4 linked regions of the Nothobranchius furzeri genome follow. Each later gene encodes a partner of the first gene's protein in a complex. Links are inferred from orthologs where the notes say so. Each region holds a gene or a part of one and is shown on either strand. Other genes may lie near its edges.

The links.
Region 2: gtf2f1 (region 1) and gtf2h5 share a complex: the UniProt entries of both Homo sapiens proteins name them as parts of the TBP-based Pol II pre-initiation complex. The link is inferred for Nothobranchius furzeri from reciprocal best matches to the Homo sapiens genes GTF2F1 and GTF2H5.
Region 3: gtf2f1 (region 1) and polr2l share a complex: the UniProt entries of both Homo sapiens proteins name them as parts of the TBP-based Pol II pre-initiation complex. The link is inferred for Nothobranchius furzeri from reciprocal best matches to the Homo sapiens genes GTF2F1 and POLR2L.
Region 4: the proteins of gtf2f1 (region 1) and ctdp1 are in contact, whole or in part, in an NMR structure (PDB 1ONV), measured with the Homo sapiens proteins. The link is inferred for Nothobranchius furzeri from reciprocal best matches to the Homo sapiens genes GTF2F1 and CTDP1. Residues at the interface, in NP_002087.2 of Homo sapiens: Thr470, Lys471, Leu474, Gln478, Ser486, Thr489, Val490, Leu493, Ala494, Leu497, Lys498, Leu500, Asn501, Pro502, Arg504, Met511, Phe513; in NP_004706.3 of Homo sapiens: Ala946, Asp947, Met949, Ala950, Lys951, Ala952, Leu953, Glu954, Glu956, Leu957, Asp959, Leu960, Met961.

The regions. Positions count from the first base shown.
Region 1 is NC_091752.1:52,157,747-52,163,662, forward strand, and holds the end of gtf2f1 (general transcription factor IIF subunit 1), read right to left. Parts: coding exon 5,817-5,916; intron 5,730-5,816; coding exon 5,582-5,729; intron 4,616-5,581; coding exon 4,560-4,615; intron 4,483-4,559; coding exon 4,351-4,482; intron 3,696-4,350; coding exon 3,625-3,695; intron 2,578-3,624; coding exon 2,436-2,577; intron 2,305-2,435; coding exon 2,172-2,304; intron 2,056-2,171; coding exon 1,851-2,055; 3' UTR 1,649-1,850; downstream 1-1,648. UniProt on the Homo sapiens protein: TFIIF is a general transcription initiation factor that binds to RNA polymerase II and helps to recruit it to the initiation complex in collaboration with TFIIB. It promotes transcription elongation.
Region 2 is NC_091742.1:2,692,698-2,697,509, forward strand, and holds gtf2h5 (general transcription factor IIH subunit 5), read right to left. Parts: upstream 2,309-4,812; 5' UTR 2,169-2,308; intron 1,978-2,168; 5' UTR 1,953-1,977; coding exon 1,918-1,952; intron 1,820-1,917; coding exon 1,639-1,819; 3' UTR 1,504-1,638; downstream 1-1,503. Other genes in the region: protein SERAC1, read right to left, coding at 3,361-3,497, 3,612-3,755, 3,840-4,022, 4,171-4,268, 4,500-4,600, 4,730-4,812. UniProt on the Homo sapiens protein: Component of the general transcription and DNA repair factor IIH (TFIIH) core complex, which is involved in general and transcription-coupled nucleotide excision repair (NER) of damaged DNA and, when complexed to CAK, in RNA transcription by RNA polymerase II.
Region 3 is NC_091749.1:62,790,238-62,795,327, reverse strand, and holds polr2l (DNA-directed RNA polymerases I, II, and III subunit RPABC5), read right to left. Parts: upstream 3,079-5,090; 5' UTR 2,940-3,078; intron 2,558-2,939; 5' UTR 2,548-2,557; coding exon 2,453-2,547; intron 2,184-2,452; coding exon 2,075-2,183; 3' UTR 1,942-2,074; downstream 1-1,941. Other genes in the region: cleavage and polyadenylation specificity factor subunit 7, read left to right, coding at 742-886, 971-1,205. UniProt on the Homo sapiens protein: DNA-dependent RNA polymerase catalyzes the transcription of DNA into RNA using the four ribonucleoside triphosphates as substrates.
Region 4 is NC_091751.1:1,630,543-1,636,592, reverse strand, and holds the start of ctdp1 (RNA polymerase II subunit A C-terminal domain phosphatase), read right to left. Parts: upstream 3,791-6,050; 5' UTR 3,582-3,790; coding exon 3,286-3,581; intron 2,396-3,285; coding exon 2,312-2,395; intron 246-2,311; coding exon 152-245; intron 1-151. Other genes in the region: adck5 (uncharacterized aarF domain-containing protein kinase 5), read left to right, coding at 4,501-4,524. UniProt on the Homo sapiens protein: Processively dephosphorylates 'Ser-2' and 'Ser-5' of the heptad repeats YSPTSPS in the C-terminal domain of the largest RNA polymerase II subunit. This promotes the activity of RNA polymerase II.

The sequences.
Region 1 (5,916 bases):
CTTCAAATACTTCGTCTTCTTTGAGGGATAATAAATGTCCTCCTGAGCACTGCCGTCTCCTCCTTTGACCATTATTTCAGCTTTAGCTTCAAGAAAGTTTTATTGTAAACAAAGCGTGCATCTGCCGCCGTCAACTTCAGCCGATGATACGGTGGCTGGTAAGGGTCACCGCGCCTACAGCGCAGCCACGGTAAACCCACCAAGATAATATAGTTTTTTTTAAAACAAGACGGTTATTATTGTCAACTTTTTTTTTTACCGGGGTTTACCGATACACTGGTTACCGTGACAACCCTACCTGATCGGTTTGCTTTGATCTATTTTGAAAACCGATAGGGGCGCTATCGGCCGATTACGATCAAATGCCGATCCATCGGTGCATCCCTAGCTAAAACACGTTATTTTACAAGTTTTATTCTCATGTCATGCCGTTTTCATATATTTACATTTTAGAGACTTACTTGTTGATGAAAAGTTCATCAACTCTGCATCAGCCGAGGTATTCCTTAAATTTGAAGCATCTAAGCGATAGTCTAACGCTATTGGTTAGTTCTGGTCAGTGCTCAGTTTCCTATTGCACAGAGCTCTGCGGGGCAGGAGGCGTGCTTAGCAAAAAAATAAAACATAAATAAAGATGTATTGCTTACATTTTATCACAGCACATGATAAGATAATCACATTTACAGATTTCTGAAAGTAGAAAACTCCGGAAAGCTACTTGAATCCGCCACTGATTCGGATTCCCCTCAGCTGGGCGCTTCAGGGCGGAGCCAGGAGGAGAGTGGTGCTGCAGAGTTGCTCCTCTTTGCACAAGAGAGGATGAAAACAGAAGAAAGGAAACACACAGAAGAAACAAACTGCTCCGGCCGTAACATATGTAATTGTGCCGAGTGTGTTAGAGCTGATGAGTCACCAAAACAAAATCCAACGATGATAAAAAGCACTGATGCACAGCTCGTCTACATAAATATAAATGAGCTCTAAGAGAATACCTGCTTTTATAAAGAAAGCCAGATGAGTTATGCTGGTTTGTTGCCAAATGTAAAAATAAAAAAACTTATAAAAACTGTTTTTTCAATGCTCATTTATTTTCATTTTACTTGAATTCAGCAATCCAGTGTTACCCTTTCAGGAATGATGGATGGCTCTTTAGAAACACATAAAAGTGATCGTCTTACCCGGTTGTATGATAATGTAGGTCATGTGTCAATTTTTAAGAGTCTGTAGAGCCTTGTGCGATTTGAAATGATGACTGCTCATTAGTCAATAGCATTAGGCATCCTCTTATATACAGATGTCACATCTGTACTTAACCTGCATCACTGAGCGTTTGCAGACTGATGCAGAGTTGGTAACATTTCTTGTGGGTGAGTATTTAAAATATAAAAATATGAATAAACAGCTTTACAGGAGAATAATCTTAGAAAAATGTGTTTTAGCTGTTGGTTGGCTAGAGGTGCGTGTTCACGAACATGGCGTGGGAGAGGGGCTTAAGATGCGATACATTTTTCCACCTCTAGATGGTGCTCTCTGAGAATTTCTGCTTTAATGTGCAGAGATGCTGAATGTGACAGAAGAGCAAGAGGAAATCACTTTTCAGGGTTTCAATTTCATTATAAAAGTTCCAACTCAAGAAAAACAAGCTAAAGATGTTTCCTTTCATTTTGAAAGAAGCTCTAAGATTTTTATTTCGACTCTTAAACTGTCACTCAGCAAAAGTTCAGACTAAACAAACTCAACATGTTGAACAGAATACGTTCAGAGCCGCTGGCGTTTCTGCACAGCTCAAGTCCTGCTGCATCAAACTTCCCTCCAGACCCCACCCCTCCTCTGCTGCACCACCCACCTGCTCACTCTGTAAGGTAGAAATGCATTTTGTCGTTGACATTTTTGCGCTCTGGATTGAGGCGCTTCAAAATCTGAGCCAGCACGTTGACCGTCTGCTCACTGCTCAGACCCGTCCGTTTAGTCTGGAACTTCTTCAGCAGGTCCTTCGTGGTCATCGGTTTACGGATCAGGTAGCGGCGGACCGCGTCCTCCGTTAGCTGGACGTCACTGTAGCGGGGGATAAATAAATAAAGTCAGGGTTTTTTAGCAGTTTGCAGAGTTTTAGATTTTGATTTAAGCCTAATAAACGGATTTATTTCTTTCTGTTTTCTGATGGTACTTACCTTGAGCTGGGGGTGGATTTGCCTGATGGGGGCTGGGGTGTGCTCTTCCCAGAGGGAACAGGACTCTGAGTGCTGGGCTCCATCTTTAGCCTTTTAGCAGCTGGGGAGTCTGCAGCAGCTCCCTGCCTCTTCCCTACAGGAGAGAGAGAGATTTAATTAAACACAAATCCTCCCTTAAGGATCAAAGAAAATAAATTATTCTCATCGTTGACATGGTATTTGTGACCGATTTCCGTATTTGTGCTAATCTACAGGCACACACACCTTGCTCCAGCTTGCTAGCAGCAGCCCGCAGAGTGTTGGAGGTGGAGGCGGAGTCGATTGATGGAGTTCCAGGACGACTTCCTGTCCTAGAGCTTCCTGCAGAGCCACGACCGCCTGCACGCTTAGGAGGAGTTCGCTTCTTCTGCAAAGAGCAATTTAAAAATAATAAAAATGAAAGCAAATATGCAGCAAAAAAAAGAAATATTCACAACTTCATTTAGACTCAAACACTCGACTTAAGTAGTAGGGGGTGGGAATCTATCAGCTCCTCGTGGTTCCATTATGACCCAGATTTATGTCCCGTCTTACACCGGTTTCACACTGAAAGCATCAGAGGCGCGGAACGTCACTGCTTCAAATAAAATCTTTTGTCTATGGAGTGTTTGAAACCAGCCACGATGCGACAATTTTCAGGAGCGTCCCAGAAGCGGCACGCTGCGCCGCTAAAGATTGGTTTCTATTTTTGCCACGAGCCGCTTCTGGGATGCGTCAATTCCCGCAGTGAACATAAGGCTAGACAGGAAATCACACATGGTTTCAGTGTAAAATCCCGGGTAATTTTCAAAATAAAAGTACTGAAACGATGCAATGTCATATATATGAAGCTTACGTGTGACCCAACGTCTTATTTACTCCCAGTATCGTTCCAGAAGTGCAGCGGTGTGTTTTCATGGCTTTAATCCTGACTATGGAGAGAAAAACATCATATATGACATCAAACAGCGATATCAAATGTGATTTTTTTCTTTTTGGTTTAATGGCAGATTGCATAAACAAACCGTGATCTTTGAAATCTCGAGAGATTTTGTGATCCCGCGAGTCCAGCGAGGAGCACAGGAAGGAAGACGTACCACGGCCAAGACTCTCCCCGTGTGAAGAGGACCGCATTGAAGTTTGCAAGTAAACCGTTTCGTGCTGCTGATGCTTCTAGTGTTAAACTGGGGTTATATGTTCCTACCCGCTCTTATTATTACAATTAACATCATTTTTTACATTTTAAAATGCAGTCAGAATCTTTGTCTCGATCGCGATGCATAAAAAACAGGTTAAATTTCCCACCCCTAGGTCATAATGTGTCAATGAATGACTAACTGAGCTGTAATTTAAAGCAGAACTCTTTCCCACACACACACACACACACACACACACACACACACACACACACACACACACACACACACACACACACCATGAACAGAGCAGAGGCCGTCTCTCCCTCGATGTCGCTGTCATCGGAGCTGTCTGATTCGCCGCTGCTGTCTGTCACGAACAAAAAGAAATAATTGACCCCGGAACTCAGCCATCTTTAAAATCTAAACCCAAAAGAAATTGTAATTTGCTACAGCTCCTGTAAGTTTCTCCTGAGTCAGAACCTTGCACAGCACCTGCAAGCTGCCACTCTCCTCTCCAGCTCAGTTCCAGCCTCCACTTTCAGCACCAGGGAGAGCGACACGCTGCTGCAGGAATCTGCATCTAGACAGCTCAAGCCTTTAAAAGGGGGCACAGATCTTCTCCGTCATCCCCTTGGTTGTGGCTTGTCTGTTATTAGAATAACTCGTAGTATAGAGATCGCTTAGTTAATTGATGTCTTTAAGACAACAGTTTCTTTAGATTTAGTTCCCCTTCAGTGTTTAACCCAGTTTTCCACCAGTTCTGCTGTGCGTTTATCCAGCATGTGTGTTTAGTTAATGAGTTGAGATAGTTTTCTCCCAGTGGGTTAAATGTCACAATTAATATTGGATACAGGAGACTTGCTTTGTCTGTTATACTGCAGTGCCTCTTCTACTTTGAGTGAACCTTTGTTATAACAAACATCAAATTGTTGCTAAGACCTTGGTGCATTCCTTTTATTTTAATTTTCTGAGTTACTCCTTTCAGACAGGAGGGGTCGTAACATCACTCGTGAAGTTCATACCTTTCTTCTTCTTCTTTTCCACCTGAACAGGGGTTTTCTTCCCTTCCTCCTCCTCTTCCTCCTCCTTTGCTTCTTCTTCATTCTTCTTCTCCTCTTCGCTCTCTTCCTCGCTCTCTGATTCCTCATCGATTCCTGCAAACAGACAAATTACTTCAATGAGAAACAAACAAAACTCCTGCAGGAGAATACCAGTATCGTCTCACACCAACCTTTAGGATGCTCTTCCTCTCTGGTGGGTTTCTCGTTAACTTGGTCTTCATCTGGGCTGTTGGGAAAGAAAATAACACATGAACACACAACCATTTCTAAAAGAAAGACACACACACACACAAGCCTTGTTATCAAAATCAGTGCATCTCTAATGACACTGTGTCATAAATGATAGTTGTACCAGAAAATAGTGGAAGTTTGAGACTTTTCTCTACTTAAAGTGCATAAAGTAGCAACAGCATTCTGTGGTCACATGCGGGAACAGCATGTTTCATAACAAACATGTCCGCTCTGAACAGCTGTCGTCAGCCACGGATCAGCACCAGAAGATTCTAGATGAGGAGTTAAGACGAGTCGAATGCAGTAAGTTGATAAGTAGGTAAATACATTTAACTGTAATATCAAGTAGGTCAATTTCATCGTTAGCATTGTTAGCTCAACGTTAGCGTCTAGCCTTTTTTTCCCCCAATATTAGAGTAAAGCAAAAAGATGCTGTGGCTTCTTAAGGGTACAAGAAATAACTTCTGGGTTGCTCCTGTTAACTGGCTTTGGTTCTCAACACAACTTTGGAGCTTTTTGTCTGCTAGTGTCGAATTACAAATGCTGGTGTAGCATCGTTGGCAGATTTGCAACTCTACAGGTTCACATATGATTGGCTCTGCAACCAGGAAGTATGACGGCGGGACAGATTGTAAACGATGACTATGTCCCTCTTCACATCTGACATGTTTCAGTGCAGCTTTCCTTCAGACAGGATTGAGACATTAGCCTGTTTTGTGATTATTTCACTGTAATATTCTAACATGTTGTACCTTTAAAACACCTGACTAGAATCAGACCTCTGTAGGACATGATAAGTAATAAATCCAAACACTAAATCTGATAAGCTGGAGCAGAGAAACATCTAAAACATGCAGGATAGTACTAGGACATGAGTACATAGCTAACATGCTAGCATGAACTAAAGCTAATAAGGGAATGGGGTAAACGGGGAGGGGGTGGTAGGGTAATAAGATCTCACCTGCTTTCATCTGACATATAATCCACTTCCAGACCCTCGTAATCGCCATCATCACTGTCTTCAAGGGCGTCTTTTTCACCACCCTTTTGCTTCTTCTTTGTTTTCGATTTCCCCGCGGCCTTCTTCGTTTTTGCTTTGCTCGCACCGTCTGACACGTTTAAAAAAATGTTTCAAGTTTAGAAAAGTAAAGATGTGAAAATCATAATTACACCACATCCTGTTTTCTTCTCTGTACCTTCTCCTACGCTGCTGTCACTGTCATCACTGCTCATCTCCAGGTCGTCTTCCAGATCGTGAATGAGCAGGTCGCCGCCTCTCCCACCGCCCTTCTTTTT
Region 2 (4,812 bases), on another chromosome or scaffold:
CTAAGTAAATATTCTATTTGGTGAGAGATTAACTTCATTGTATTTATCCTAGTGAATCTATAATTAAATGGGTAAACTAGTAGTAGCACATCCAATGTCAAAGCAAGTAAAAATTTATTATCAGGAGAGGGAAAAATGGTTAGCAGCAGTTTTCAGGCCGATGGCTACCACATGAGGCTACCACAGCTCAGCAGAACATCATTGTAGCTTCTTCTGGGGAGAGAAAAAATAAAGTTAACAGCTGAAATAGCAGAAAATAATACAGTTAAAGAGCAGATTGTAGAAGAAAGTAGTCGAGTTTCCAATTTATTTCCACAGAAATTAATTTAAAGACCTACTGTGCCACTTTAGTTGACAGATAATAAAAATTACATGACAACACATAAGATCGTACTTAGAAGGAAAGAAAAAAATGCACAATAGCAACCTAGACAGTTGGTAATTAAAAGTTACCAAAAACTTTAAACTGAAAAACCTGGCTGTACTCGTCTTGTTCCTCCTTCCACAGATACAGGTCCTGCTGATGGGTGAATGATCTTCAACAGCCCTGTTTAGCTCTTTGAGAGTTACTGCTCTCCTCCAAAAATGTACTCCCCACTCTTGAGACTGTGCTGGGTGATGCATCAAACCTTCTGGCAATGGAACATATAGATGTGTCATCCTGGTGAAGTAGGACTACCTGTACTACCTTTGTAGGGTCCAGGTATCATCAGGTCCCAGAGCCTGCAAAACCATTCCACAAACAATGTAATGCTTTGTGTTGAACCACTGCTGTCTTTATATTTCTTGTTCTTTCTGTCATTCCATGCTGCTCTCTGACAGTCCGATGGTCATTTAACCACTGGAGGAAACAACTGTGTTACATTACTGAAATGCTCGGATGTAGAATTTGCTCGTTTATAAAATTTCTATCCTCAGACATGTTAAAAGTACATTTGCAGTTTCTGTCCACCTAACATAACATTAGGGACACTGTCTAGTGTTAGACTTTTCACAATTATAACTGTATCTCTGTCATTTCATTCATCAATAGAACAAACTGAAGGTGGCAAAACATTTTAAACAGGGAAAACTCATTATCTCAGTATTTCATTAACGTTATGAGATTTGTGAGAAATGTCAATTTCTTCTCTGGTTTCTATCTGAAAGCACTAATTGAATCCCTGATATCATAAAAACAACAATTGAATTATTTTCTCACAATAATTACTCTGTTGTAATGTACCTCTTCAAATGCCTTAGGTAACTGTGAGGTTTTGTTTATCATATTTTTCTCATTTTGCTCCTGCCATGAATGTAATTGCTAGGCTGGCATGCCATTCTAGATATGTACATATATTCCTTTAACCCAAATTTCTCCACTGTGGATAAAGGGATTTTCTATTTTTCTATCGGAACTAGATTAAATGAAAAATCTGATTTGGTTAAATTATGGTGTGAATTAACAAGTACTTTTAATAGATTATTTTTGTTCCCCATCTACAAGTGAAAAAGAACTCCACAAAAATAGAAACTTTTTATCCAATTGATCACTTCCACTTTTATCAAACCAAAACATTTACATGTCTCATTTTATTAAGCAAAAGCAAACAACAACAAATTGAGTAGTCCATGAGAGGAAAGTCAAAGATCTGAGGGTTATTTTTGCGTGATGGGGAATGAATTCTGGTCCATTAACTCCCCAACTCTCTCCTGAAGAGTCTGGACCACCTCTGCCAGGATAAAAACGTGTGTGTCGTCAAGATCCTTGATGATGAACTTCTTTCCTAAAGCCATGGTTTCATCTAGGTAGAGGAGAAACTGTTTCATAGCAGGATCACTGAAACAGAACATGGAGAGGAAAAAGACATTATAATTGTAGGAGTTTTCTACAGAAGAAAGTAATTTTACAGTTTTCTTCACTCTGAAGTTCCTTACCATTCAACAAGAACACCCTTGTGAACATTCACCATGATGACAGGTGTAGTTGATTAAAGTCTGCAAAATAAACAAAACGTGCAAAAATGTTGCGACAGTAACATAAATACTGTATGCATATACAACACATATTCATACCGGACAGTTAATGTACAGAGAAAATTCATGAGAAATAGTAAACAAGCTAAAAATAACAAGCTAACAACGTATTTTGCAACACTTTTAAGCAAAACGTTCTAATTAAAACTTACCACAACAACCACAATGTTCGGGAGAACACTAAAGTTGGTAAGAAATCGTGTAAAACTACTCGTTCAGACCCAACAGCAGCTGCTTTTTAAGCTAAGTTCCGTAGCATTGAGGTAAGATCTACGGCGAGCAACCAGGGACAATCTTCCTCTACCACTATAGCATTGAAGGATGCGCATTTTTGCCACTTCCGTTTAACATGTTCTTCCACGCTATCTGGTACATTTCACGTAATTATCTGCTTATATTATAACGATTTCACTGTGATTTTTGAAAAATTGTTATTAAAAATATTTGACGCTCCTGTGCTTTACTCCCAGCCCAATTCCACCAAGTGATCTATAATGCAAGATTTCTGAACAAACGTGTACGTGTATGTACATGCATACATACATATGTATACATGCGTACGTATGCATGTGTGTGTGAGTATTGCACATGTACATTTGTTTTTAACTATTTTGCAATGGATGCTTGTTAAATTACTTTTTGTCAGATTAAGTTAGAAAATAAACACCAAACGATTTCCATTTAACAATTCTGTTGTATTCAGTATTTTAATACATCATTTAATGAATGCATAGACAAGTCAAACTCAACAAATGTACTCATTCATTTGATTTATTCTCATTTCTAGTATATGTTGGCCCATTGTGATGCATAATTAATGTAATAAAATTAATAGAGTTGACCTAATATATTAAATCAGGGCCATTTTAAAAAAGGCTTGGCAAATAATCCATTTGGCACAAAAAACAACACGTTTCAGTAGAATGAATGAATACAAAAATAACATTTCAACCATTACTCTGATCAAAACTACATAGAAGCAGTTTTTAAAAATGCATCTTTAAGTAAATATATATTTGTTGTGGCTGCAAGGTCTAAAATGGAAAGATGGTGGTACTTCTCATAATATGAGTTTACTCGAAACATGACTTTGACCGGTAAAAATGAAAACATAAGGGAGGAAAATGTAAAAAGATAACAAATCAGAGGTTCGGGTTTATCTATCACAGTTAGTAAGTGTGTGAAATAAATGTGTCTGCATTATGATTGTTAACATCTCACATTATGGTTGTAAACGTGTACAAAAAGAGGTTTGGGGTTTTGAGTTTGTTGGTGGAAGGACTCAGTGTTCCTCAAACTTCAAGTAAACAATTTAATGTCACTACTGATGTGCTTGTATGTCTTTTATTGGCTTGTGTATCTCTGGAGTGCTTCCTGGATGAACTGGAGGCTGCGTCTGTAGAGAAACGAGTCCTTCTTCTCTGGTTTGCAGATGTTCAGGTGATCCACATCCACCTGAATGAGCTCTCCGATGCCCAGATCTGGAACAAAACGAGAGATTACTCAAAAAGAGAAGGTAAGAAACTGGATGACAGATTTTTATTATTTTATCAAAAGTATAGCTCATTGACTTTTCCCCACTGTATCTTACATACCTGCTGACTGAGTTGGGACCACAAATATCTTAATCATAGGACCAATATTTGTGGGCAACGTCTCTGCAAAGCTCAGCACTTTGATTTCATTTTCTTTGGCAATTTTCAGAAAACCCTCATTCAGGTTACGCAGAGCTGGGGAGTCTTTGAACACACAGACATCGACTCATTGCAGACAACAAACTATTTAATTCAAGCCATTTTAGAAGGAATGATCACAGCCCTCACCTTTGCAGAGTTCTCTGACTTCTATAGAAGGAAATAGAAGGTATCTGACATTCACAGAGTACTCTGCCATTAAGGTGCCACGGTGAGGAACACTATAGAACATTATTCCCTTAGTGTTCTTTATCAATCCCTGCAAGTCTGGGTCGTCCGCAGCATCCAACAGCATTTTCTTCACCAGCAGTCCTAAGAGGAGAGTCACATCCCAGAGAGCACAGATTGATTATTTTTCCTGAAACAGTCGCACATAGCCAGAAATGTGATCAAGAGATTGTTGCAGAAATCTGGGTAAAAGTCTGACAAGTTTGTGGTAAAGGCAGCACAGACAGAGTACCTCCCATACTGTGAGCTACCCAAACCACAGGCCTCTCTCCAACTCCTGCCAGCTTTAACTTATTTAGCAGCTCTCGACTTCTGTAGGCCAACGACTTCCTGGAAAGACAAACAGACAACTAATCCTCCACTCAATCGACTGGGTTTACTAAAAAAATCACATGAAATTGTAACTTAATTTACTTAATATGACGATATAAAAGGTAAGGATGTAGGATAAATTATGCAGAATAAGATAATTGCTGGACAAAGTTAGATTCAATTCCTATTTAGCCATTTTTTTGTTTTGTTTTTCCCCCACAAATAAGTGAATAAACTAGAAATTTTCACCTTTGATTCTCAGCTGGACACTTGGCCATCCAGTCACTCAGATGGCTGTCATACTCCACTGACAGCACTCTCAAATTTGGGCAATCAGCAGCTAGCCATGACTGCCGATAACCAAGAAGAAAAAGACATGAGAATTAAAGCTTGTATTTCCTCAGGAAACATCAAAATCTGTCCAAAAAAGATCATATTTGGTTTCTTGTGCAGCTCTAAGAATTCTGAGGATCTGTTACCTTTGGCCAACACTCTGTATAGTCATCGCTGCCTTTAGCGTCCCTCTCTTCCTCTAACGTACTGCGGTCCTTCTGCCTCCATG
Region 3 (5,090 bases), on another chromosome or scaffold:
AAACATCCCAGTAAGCATACTTTCATATTGTGCAATTGCAATCAAATATAAGAAGGTAAAAAAAAAAAATTGTACATTTGTACTTTAAGATGGACCTCTAAAAAGTTCTTAAGGGTCAACTTTATTCATGTTTTTTAATACATTTGCAGTGGTTTCTAGTAGGAATGAATGCCTTGTAGTTCGTACTCTGGGGGACAAGAAGCTCCGGTGCGCCTGTTTGAGGACGTAGATGCCAGCTGGAGGAGAACGTAGCTTCAGACGGCAGGATTTAGAGTTTTATTTCCTGATATTTGGATATCTTGCCTTGGATTGGCTAACTGCAACATGACTCTACCACTGACTACATTTGCTTTGCAACGTTGATTTATCTCCACAAATGACACAAGTCTGAAGGAGTTCTGCTGTTGTGGAGTTGCTAATGCTAATCATTAGCATCTACTAGTCGAGACGTTCACTGCCGTTTCCTGGACGGTAAACCAACAACAGATTTCCCCGTCGCGAGTCAAGATGGGTGAGTCCATGAATGTTAAGTGACAGTGTGACTAGATCTGTCAGGCTTTTCTGAACCGAGTGTGTTTCCGTCTAGTGTCTATCAAAAGCTAATGAAGGAAATAGGGGTAGAAGACTGTTTTCATGGTTAAACTCAGTCATTGATCATTTTCAAAAATAAGTTAAAAAAATTTGTTTCCCACTGAACCTGCTTTTTAAAAGACGATCTTATTTCCTGAATTTCTAATGCAGGAGAGCAGCAGATGGCCATGGAGACACTATTAACGGCGATTGCCATCATAAAGCAGTCTAAAGTGCACGGGGATGAACGCTGCCGAGCTTTGGTCACCTCACTCAAAGACTGTTTAGTCTCGATCCAAAGCAACTGTGAAACCAGGTTTGTATATTTAGGAAACTTGGTTTGAGTGCTTGTCTTTCTTAGAGGGTTAAGCTTTTTTCTAATTAAAGATTTTCTTTTTAGCAGGCGTTCAAGAGAGAAAGACAGAGACCGGGACAGAGGTCGTGAAAGAGACCACGACCGCGACAGAGATCGTGACAGAGAGCGATACCGAGATCGTGACCGAAGTGACTCTTACAGCAGGGAAGGTGCGGGAACGTCTCGAAGACATAGAGAACATTCCTGGAGTGGAGACAGGGACAAAGAGCGCTTACGAGAGCGAGAAAGACATCGAGATTACAAAGACCGATACTACTAACCTGGTAAGATAAACAGACTTAACTACAAAAGTTATATATGCTAAAAATTACATTGAGTCAGGGGAGCATTTCTTCCTTTATAAACATTTTAAATGAGCAGTTATTTGTATTCTAATCTTCACTGTAGGTCAGACACAATATCAGGATAATATACAGCTCTTTAACGTCTGAATTTAATATGAATGCATTAACTGAAATCACGAAAGATTGGCATCCCTTTATTTTTTTTACTCTGACTTTGTTCTGGTTTTGTTCCCTTTTCTCCCCAGACTGAAGAATCCTGCCGGGGAAAGATGAGCATTTTCTTGCACCAAGGTTGATAAATGTCAAAACTCTTTGAAGCTGAGACATTGGATGTTTGAAAGTATGAAACCTACTTTTTATCAGTTATATTCACCATGTCTGATTTGTTTTAAGAAAAAGTTGTGTAGATTCATTCTTGTATTATAGAATTTCAACATGCATGTAGTGAACACCTGTTAATAACTTGTTTTCATTCTTTTTTTTGTATAAATTCTACAAATAAAAAAAAATCCTCCAGTGTTTTGTTATAACTAACTACACAAAGCTGTAAAATTATGTCACATTGACAGGAAATAGACATTTAATCATTCATCAATTTTTCCAATCTCATGAAATGAACTATGCGATTAAAACCATTAATTTCCAAAGCTAAGATCTGAAGAGCTAGTCGTTGCCAACCACATAAAATGTAGACGCATGGACGAAAGAAAGCAAGGTTATTCATTTTATTTTAAAAAATCCAGTAATTGAAAAATGTTTCCATAAATTCTTCTCTGTGGTCGTAATTTAAGGTTACATAGTACACACATTCACCCTGATAATGGTGCTACAAAGTCCACAACATTCATTTTTCCAACGGAGCATAATTCAGCAATTTCTCAATAAGATCCACATGAGAAAGAAGCATCCTTCGACAGCAGTACCTCTTCAAGCCAAGAGCGTCAAGAGCATCACTAGGGAGGGAGATGGCAAAAATCAGTCCTGATATGTTACATAAACACGTTTTAATCACTGCTGAAAACCATAAGGAAAGGTGAAAGGCATTGTGGTTTAAAAACAAATCTAAACCCAATCTTCTTTTTAAATGTTATTTAGCTTGCCTGCATTGTGACCAAATGTTGAAATGTTCTACCTTTGTAGAAAAGCTACTCAAACACGTGCCAGAACAATTTCGGACGTAAAAAGATCATGAAACGTGAAGCTAGACGTGGTTGTTTCTCACCCCTCTGTGTATTCCGCTTGCAACAGACCGAGGTACGCTTCCCATTTGTTCCCCACAATCTTCCCACAAGTGAAGCACCTCACAGGGATTATCATCGTTAAATACCTGCAACAAAAGTCAACCCGGTTAATGTTTGAAAACAATGTAAAACAATCACAGTTGAGTCGTTTAACTTAAATTACATTTACGTTTCCGCATACCACCGCAGTAAGACCACCATGTGAGCATGTTTTGCTAACGTTAATGCAGCAAAACCTAGCACTGCAACGATTAAAGCAAACACGTATTTAGTTTTTTTTTTCAGATGGATTAATCAATAGTCCAAAAACGAATTACTTAAAAAAGACGGTTGAAATCAAATCTTATGGTTAGTGCTGTATTCCGCTACGTAACTAGCCCACCAGCTAGCGTTAGCTGCTGTTGAAATTATTCCGCTAAACGAACTTACACACGTCATTAGTTTATCACGTTTTACCATATGTTTCACCTTTTGAGGCTGTAGATCAGATGAATGTACTATTTTCTTGGTAAAAGTAACTCCAGCACGATAATGATGGCGTTCTCTCACTCCTTATGTCGTTAAAACAACTTCCGGGTAAAATCCGCCAAAATAAAAGCGGAATAAGAGGTGAGCGTTTCCTGTGATTTGCAAAATTGACCCCCCCCCCCCCCCAAAAAAAAAAAAACGAAAATGGGGAAACTGACACGGAAAACGTGTGAGCGTCTTCGTCTATTTGGTTTTAATAAATGTGGTGCAAAAGTGAAATAACAATTCATTAGAATCACAATATTGCTACTGAATAATGACCACAGCTCACTTCATAAACGAGCGTATAAAAATGGCAGTACTCCCCATCAAACTTAGCTAACATGTCAAGTCACTCACCTCACAATGTATTTTTCCTTTTACAAAACAAACAACTTTGAAGCAAAAGTATTAATATCCATGTAACCACAGATAAAGGAGTTTAAAAACTCTAACATTTTCCTTGATATAACTAATAAATGCAATTGCAATTCAATATACCATCTTGACAGAATGTTAAGGAAAAGAGCTAAATTAGTTGATTAAAACTAATGTTTTTGAAGGTGGTACCATGCAAAAATAAAATCTTCATCCAATGCAGATAGTTACACAAATTAATATTAACATGAATCCACAAAAGAAATGCTCACTATAGGACTGGTTCACTGCCTTTAATAAGATTGAATTTCAGATTTGTCATATTTTACATTTAAATGATTGGACTCATAGAGGAGGGTGCATAAAGAAAATATTTAAAATATAAAACATACATATTATTTCCACCATAGTCATCTTTACAGTCAGCATGATAAATGTCATTATCATTACCATCAGTAACATTATACAGTAATACATCATCTATGTAATTTCATTTGCTACAGCACATATGCTAAATGAGGAATCCTACCTGAATTATTGCATTTATACGCTGTTGAAATTATGAAAATAGGAGTTTTCATATTCTTTTGTTTTTTAAGAGTACACTGTATTGTACAATGTAAGGTGAAATTTATTTTTGTGTTGACTTACTACTTTTTGAACATGTCAGAGGAGCTGTCTAGTGATGGTGATATGCTCTTATGAGTTTTTTAGGGGGTATAAAATATGGTGAAGCTATACATTCTGGTTGTCAAAACTACCTTTCTACCAAACAGAGACAACCGGATGAGTTTTACAGTTGCAAGCTGAAAGGCTAGTGAGCCACTGTACAGGTGTGTTTGTGCAGTAACAAATTCTTTTCCCCCTTTCAGTGAAGTATGAGTACTACTTTTATGCTATTATAAATGCTTTCATTACATATTTTTGGTGGGTGACTTTGAAAACACACAGAGTGGCATAAAAATTGACTCAATTCTAGTGGCTGACTGGCTGTGGGCTTTCAAACCCATATAGAGGTTAGAATAAACACGCAAACCAACTTCTTCTTTTGTCCCAGAACGTGTCATATTTCAGTGTTTAATAATGTTTTGGTTTATTTTAAACCCAATGAGTTTGTCTTTGTTACTCTTCACCAGAGGTCTGCAACCTTTACTATCCAAAGAGCTGTTTCCCACACTGTTACAGGGCTTTCAGAAAACAGACAATGAATTTTTGAGAAATGTCTAAAAATTAATCAGAATTCTGAGGTTGAAATCATGATTCTGACTTTTTTGTTTTTAGATTATAGTCACAACTCTTGTTTTATCTTCTATCAGTATCTTCTCTATGGGATTTGATTAAGTTTTTAAATTAGGAAAAATGAAATAAAACTTTTGCAAAAACTGTATGAATATCATTCTGTATATCAGGAAAGTTATAAAAATAGTGTAATTCTGTTGAGGAAATTGAATGCAATTGATTCTGTGAAAATACAGAACAGTAGCTTGAATCTGCATTATTATATTAATATATATTTTTTTAAATTAGTATTTTACCATTTTTAGAATACATTATTAAGAGCAATTGTGGAAGCTCCAAAGAGCCGTACTTGGCTCCAGAGCTGTAGATTGCAGACCCCTGCTCAATACAAAGGTTTACCATATTTTTTTGCCACCAACGTACAATGTAGATGTAACGAGTGACACCACAGAATCAACCCAGGAACACTGATTTATTCCTGAGTGACAGAACTGA
Region 4 (6,050 bases), on another chromosome or scaffold:
TACACACATGTATATATATAACCTCACATAATATTGGAGTGTTATTGGTTTAATGTTGTAATTTTCACAGATTTGCAGGCAAGTGAAATTTTCTAATAAAGCTATATGAAGCCACACACACACACACACACACTTCCATCATATAACTCACCTCAGAGCTGACCATCAGTTCAGGGACACTGTGAACCATGGAGACTGTTGCTGTGGAGATGGGAACTTGTTGCTTCCCGTTTGTTCCCTGGAGCCTACGATGGGATAGAGAGAGAGAGAGAGTAGGAGTTCTGCCCTCTGTGCATCTCTCAGACCCTTCAGCAGATTGTGACTGAAAGGATTTATTACAAACATGCAAATGCATGCATTCATGCCTGCAGCAGTTCAGCGTCCAGAGCCCCCAACGTGGACTCATTAAGCCACAAAAGCATGCCCTGACATTTTATCTCACTGCTGAGGTCTCTGTATTAAATACATGCAGCGTCACATTTTTCTGGTTTAGCTTTTGTTCTTGTTCTACCAGCAGCGTGTTTGAAAACAGTTGAGACTTTTATGATTTCATTATTTTGATTATTGATCGATTAGGTTTAATTGTAAATGAACCCCCCAAAATTTTAACTGGAAAACTCGGTTCACACACTTCCAACACACAGCTCGTGTCATCGCGAGATCTGGTTGTTCCGTCAGAATGAAGGTGGTACACACTGCTGCCACCTAGCAGTCGGAGTTTGAAATGCACCACACAAAATAAATAGTTAATGTTTGCATGTAAATTCTCAAAAAAAATCTATCCGTTGCTTTTAAATGGCAATTCAGTATCATAACATAATTTCCCCTCATATGTTGTTTTTATTACTCATTATTGTCTGATGAGGAAGAATGAACCCTTACCACCTGGGTGTTTGCTGTACCCAGCGTAGCAAAAGCCATGTATCAGATTATATGACGACTCGGTGTTGAGTCTTGTTTTTGGTTAAATATATGTAACATGCTAACCTTGCAGAAATTATATAAACATCCTTGAAATGCATCAAAGTCACCTAACATCCATGTGTGATCTCTGGTGCCACCCGCTGGCACCACACAGAACAACACCCAGTACCAAATAGGGCTGTCGCGGTTGAGGAATTCCTCCTGCGGTGATTCAGGGTGGCTTAATATTGCGGTGTGCGATATTATTGCAGCCCTTTTTTATTGCAGTACTATCTAAACATAATGTTTACACATTTAAAAAAGGTTAAAAATTGCCGTGCCTTCTTTAATAACACTTTACTGAATGCAGATCAAAGGGCAGTAACAACACAGATCGCAGTAACGTTTGTTTCTCCGACAGTCGGAGTCCGACTGAACTTAAAAACAACAAAATTCAGGAGAAGGTTAAACTTTTAAATGCAAATTTGGCTGCAGCATCTAACAAATAAGAAACAAGTCCCCATTTTGTTTAGTTGTTTAAAATCAAGCATAAAAAATTACATGTACCGGGCGCACGCGCGCGCGCCGGGGGGCGGGCGCACTATCATTTCACTTTCACACACACGAATGACGGTGCTTTATAGCTCGGCCACGTCCTTGTTACCTACAAGGAAAACCAGCATGTTAACTACGGTTTGAGAGAGGATCTGAGAGGGGTGGCAACATTTCCAGCAACACTGAAAACCCTCTCGGATGGTGCGCTCGTTGCGCTAACGCACACGTACTTGCGTGCGACTCTGGCGAGCAAAGGGAATCTCTCCCGGTTGTTGCTCCACCATGTCAGGGGGTTTCTTTAGGGTGGATGCATTCCTCCTGCAGGTAGCGAGTGAGCTCCAGCTCGGCTCCAACTCTCTTCGGGACGGTTGCAGAAGCAGTGCTTGTCCGGGACTTCAGCAGGTCTCCGAGCATTTATTTATTTATTTATTTTTGCCGCTGGTGGCAGCTCTGTCTCGGCCAAGGACTCTGGCTGCGCAGCAGCTGACGTACTGAAAACCAAAGTGCTCCCAAAGGAGCGAAGTAACGTTTCGTTTTGATACCAGTGCAGCCATCCTTCTCAACATGCATCATTGAGTTGAACCAAGTTCAGTAATCGCGGTGGCGCATGATGCAGCGCGGTGGGCTTCTTCATATCGCGATATTTCATTTTTGCGGTTACCGCGACAGCCCTAGTACCAAACACTGCTCTCGCTGCAACATGACATTTATTCAGCCTATTTTACCAACTTTTTTAAATGATCAGCATGTGTCCAACAATAACTAAACAGAAACAATGTCCATCCACATCTGGAACTGGGAAAGGAGGAGCAACAGCTGAAAACAAGTAGATTCTGAGTCAATGTGTCCTTACTGAGTAAGATCCTGGCCACACTCGGCGCACAAGCCCTTCATGACAATGGGATGGCTGCACTGTTCAATCCTGACGATGACACCACTAAAAAGACAGATGGTGAGAGAATAAAACAATTATTACAGCACCCACATGTTTATTAAACACGTATTTCAGCTATTGTGGCTCATATAGATGTTTGTCTCTATTTACACTATTACAAATAAATGGGCTACACACACACTGGTGCTGCTATGTAATTAGAATTAAATTAAATAAAGCTGATTCATCCAATGAAGGCAACACTTTTATTGTAGTACAATTAAGGCTGAGTTAAATCCTGATTAGTATCAAGCTGTCATGTTTGCAAATAAAAAAACAGCATGGTTTTTTTTTTGTTTGAAGTAGGATTTTACAAAATGCACCTGAAGGCCACAAGAATAGGCAATAATATAATTACATCACTTCAGGTTTATATCAGTAAATGAAGAGTGAGGTAATGATTTTCCTGTTTCCTGACTGTCTAAAACCTGAAAACGTCCCTGACAGCACTGTGCAAACGTGTTGTTTTCTTCCTATATTGATCTGATTGTTGACTCAAACACACCACAACACTGCCCAGCATGGTGGTGCTTTCAAAATAAAAGTATCGCCTGCTCTTCTTGAAAAACGCAGCTTTGAATTTACAGCAGCGGTGATCGCACACACTTTTATTTCCACACATGTTCCATAATATATTGGATAAATTCACAATACGACGTTTAAAACCAATTCTGAGACTGACGTATACGAACTTCCGCTCTTACTTCCAAGACAACTGTTGTTTTAGGGTTAACTTACTAGCAACAATGCTAATCAAGTTAGCCGTGTTAGCTACTGGCTAACTGACGTTCAAGCAGGGATGCTTTCAAAAAAGTATTTTCAAAACTTTTTTTTATTTGTTTGGCTGTAGATTTTCTTAGAAGGGGTGTGCTGTAGTAAACAGAGCGACTCACCCTGGAGGAATGATTTGTCCAACTTGACAACCTAGCTCCTTCACTACTCCAGAACGGTCTGATTTCACCTTCTTCTCGGGCAGCCTGGCAGCCCCCGTCCCCTTCTCCCGAGGCATGGGAGCACACAGTGCCAGCACAGAGTCCACGTTAACCAGAGATCCGGGCTTGACTTTCCACTCTAGAAGCCGCAGAGGGAGAGCCCCGCTGGGAGAGCACATATCTGCCACCTGCACTGCGGGGCCCTCCGCAGCAGCATCGCCGCCGCCGCCACCAGAATCAGCAGGAGGATCCTCCATCTGTCCTGCAGTCTCCAGAACCTCTTTCGTTTTCTGCACCAGTCCACTTTATACGTATCAAACCCACCTCGCGATGGCCAGTGTGTCAATGTAGCAAACGAATCACGTGTTTGATCAATAAAACAAATGTCCTGGAGATTTAAACACCGTGGCTGCTGTCTCGTTCGCTCTTCCCGCCCGTAAACAGGAAAGCGCAACACTGCAGCGACGCACGTCGCAAAGCTAGGGGTTTGCCGAAAAGTGTATCCCTGTCACACTGGTCAGGGAAAAGGTTTGAAAATAACATTTGAATGAAAGTTTGATGTCAATCAGGTTGTGTTGCATATTTTTTACATACGATTTTTAAAACACCACATTTTACGGGGAGTAATTTTAATTTTGTTTAGAAGTGAGATGATCGTATTTACACTGAAAAGCACACAGTAATAGAATCTTTGCAGATTTTGGACTGACGTCAAATCTTACGCTTCATGGCTAGGGTGCTTTTTTCGACATGACACCGGTAAGCAGGCGGACAGGAAGAACGGGACACTTTTCTACTTGCCCTTCAAATTAAAAGCGCTGATAAAATTCAATGGATCACACATTTGGTCTTCAAAACCGTGTATTACACTGGACTTTCAAACTTACTTCTGTGCACTTTATTCCAGTTTACAATTCAAAATGACAGAAAGTTGTGCGTGTTTACCAACTGTATAAAATAAGGACATGCACTCATATTGGACTCAGCGGATTCCACGATTTTATTTTTAAATAAGAAGACGAAAACGGAAGTGGGTGGGTGCGGTTTCTCTTGCACTCCAGTCTTCTGACCAAAAGTCATGCTAGTGTTAGCTGAAGAAGGTTCTCAGACTGCTGGCGACCTCTTTGACAAGAATTCACGGCTGTGAGCAGGGTGTTAATATTATCAGAGGGAAGCATGACATGGGGGACTTCTGGAGTGGTAAATAAACAAAAATCTGAATCTATGTCTAGATCGTTTTGGCAAAGATAGTCATTGATATTAACCTGTTGACTAACAGCTAACGATTATTAGCTATCATCAAGCTATGCAACTAGTAAAGCTAGATGTGCAAGTTGATAGTCATTTAATTCAACTTAATATATTTATTTATTCATATTTCACTGCATTAAAACATCTGTTGTTTGAAGTTCCATCTCAGTTTGGCAACTAAACAAAAACTGTCTCTTCGTTACTCTGAGCTCCTGATTGGTCCAGTACATCTGTGGTCCTCAAGGGTCTAAATGTGTGCCTGACGCAGTGGCGCTCCTAGAAAGTTTTCTTCGAGGGGAGCCAGTGCAAAATTTGAGATGGCACCAAATTTGTTCCTGTGGTAAATAATGGAGGATTTAAGCCTGATTCATGCTTCTCCATCAGCTCCAACAGGGAGAGACACGCACGGAGATGTTCTCCGTCTCCTGTGGAGCGTTGCAATGCACTTCCCCGCCAGGACAGCAGAGGGCGTAGCGCTGTTCTGTGGTATCCTGTCATGTATCGGTCCAAGATAGTGTGTTTATATTGTGTTTTTTGTATATAAGAGACTTTTTAACACGGACATATTTGTCTCTCATTCTCCTCCACCTCTTCATGCGCTCGCCACCTCGAAACCCACGTTTCCTGTCATTTCCATCCACAAATAAAACGCTTGCTGCGCATCTTTTCACTCCTCCAGTCACGGGGGATTAAACGTTCATATTTTTAGGTTTTTTTTTGCGAGGTATTCTTCAAGCTGCTCCGCTTCTGCCGCTCGGCTCTCTTTATGTTTTTGAGGGCGCAGTGGCGGCGGTGTAGACAACAGCGGCGTCCTGACCAATCACAAGCTTGCGTTGTCCGTCTCGACGGATGGATGTTTAGAAAAGAGAGCTAGACTCTGTCCGTCCTTGCGGAGCTCTCCGGCAGGCCCGCGAGGACGGATAATGGTGTTGCGTGTCTCCGCTCTGACGGAGAAGCATGAATCAGGCTTTAGCCTGTAGCTGCGCATTGCTCTGTGCCTTCAATTTCTCTCATTAAAAACACTTTTACCTAAAATCCGAGAAATAGAAACATTTTAGAAAAAAAGACAATTTATGCTGTTATTTTAATTATTGTTTCCAATTTAATTGTTATAGAATTTAATAACATTTAAATACATTTTAACTAAAACATAATTGGGTGGCCAACAGTTTTCTAGGGGTGGCCATGGCCCCCTCTGGCCACCCTGCGAGGGTGTCACTGGACCGACAGAAAACCACCTTTGATGTGGAGGTCACTGGCACCCCCCGTTATCTGTAAATCAATTTGTCAGCAGTAAAGACATTTTGTCCCGTGTTGAGTCAGCGTACAAAAACAACACCGGACTGGCCTTGATGGGACTCCATTCCCATCCCTCTCAGTATATAAACATGCACACATGCTTGAATCCCTGTTCCAAACCTACTAATCTGATCTTTTCTCACTATCAGCTTACCTGTGTGTTGCTGGGTTACAAA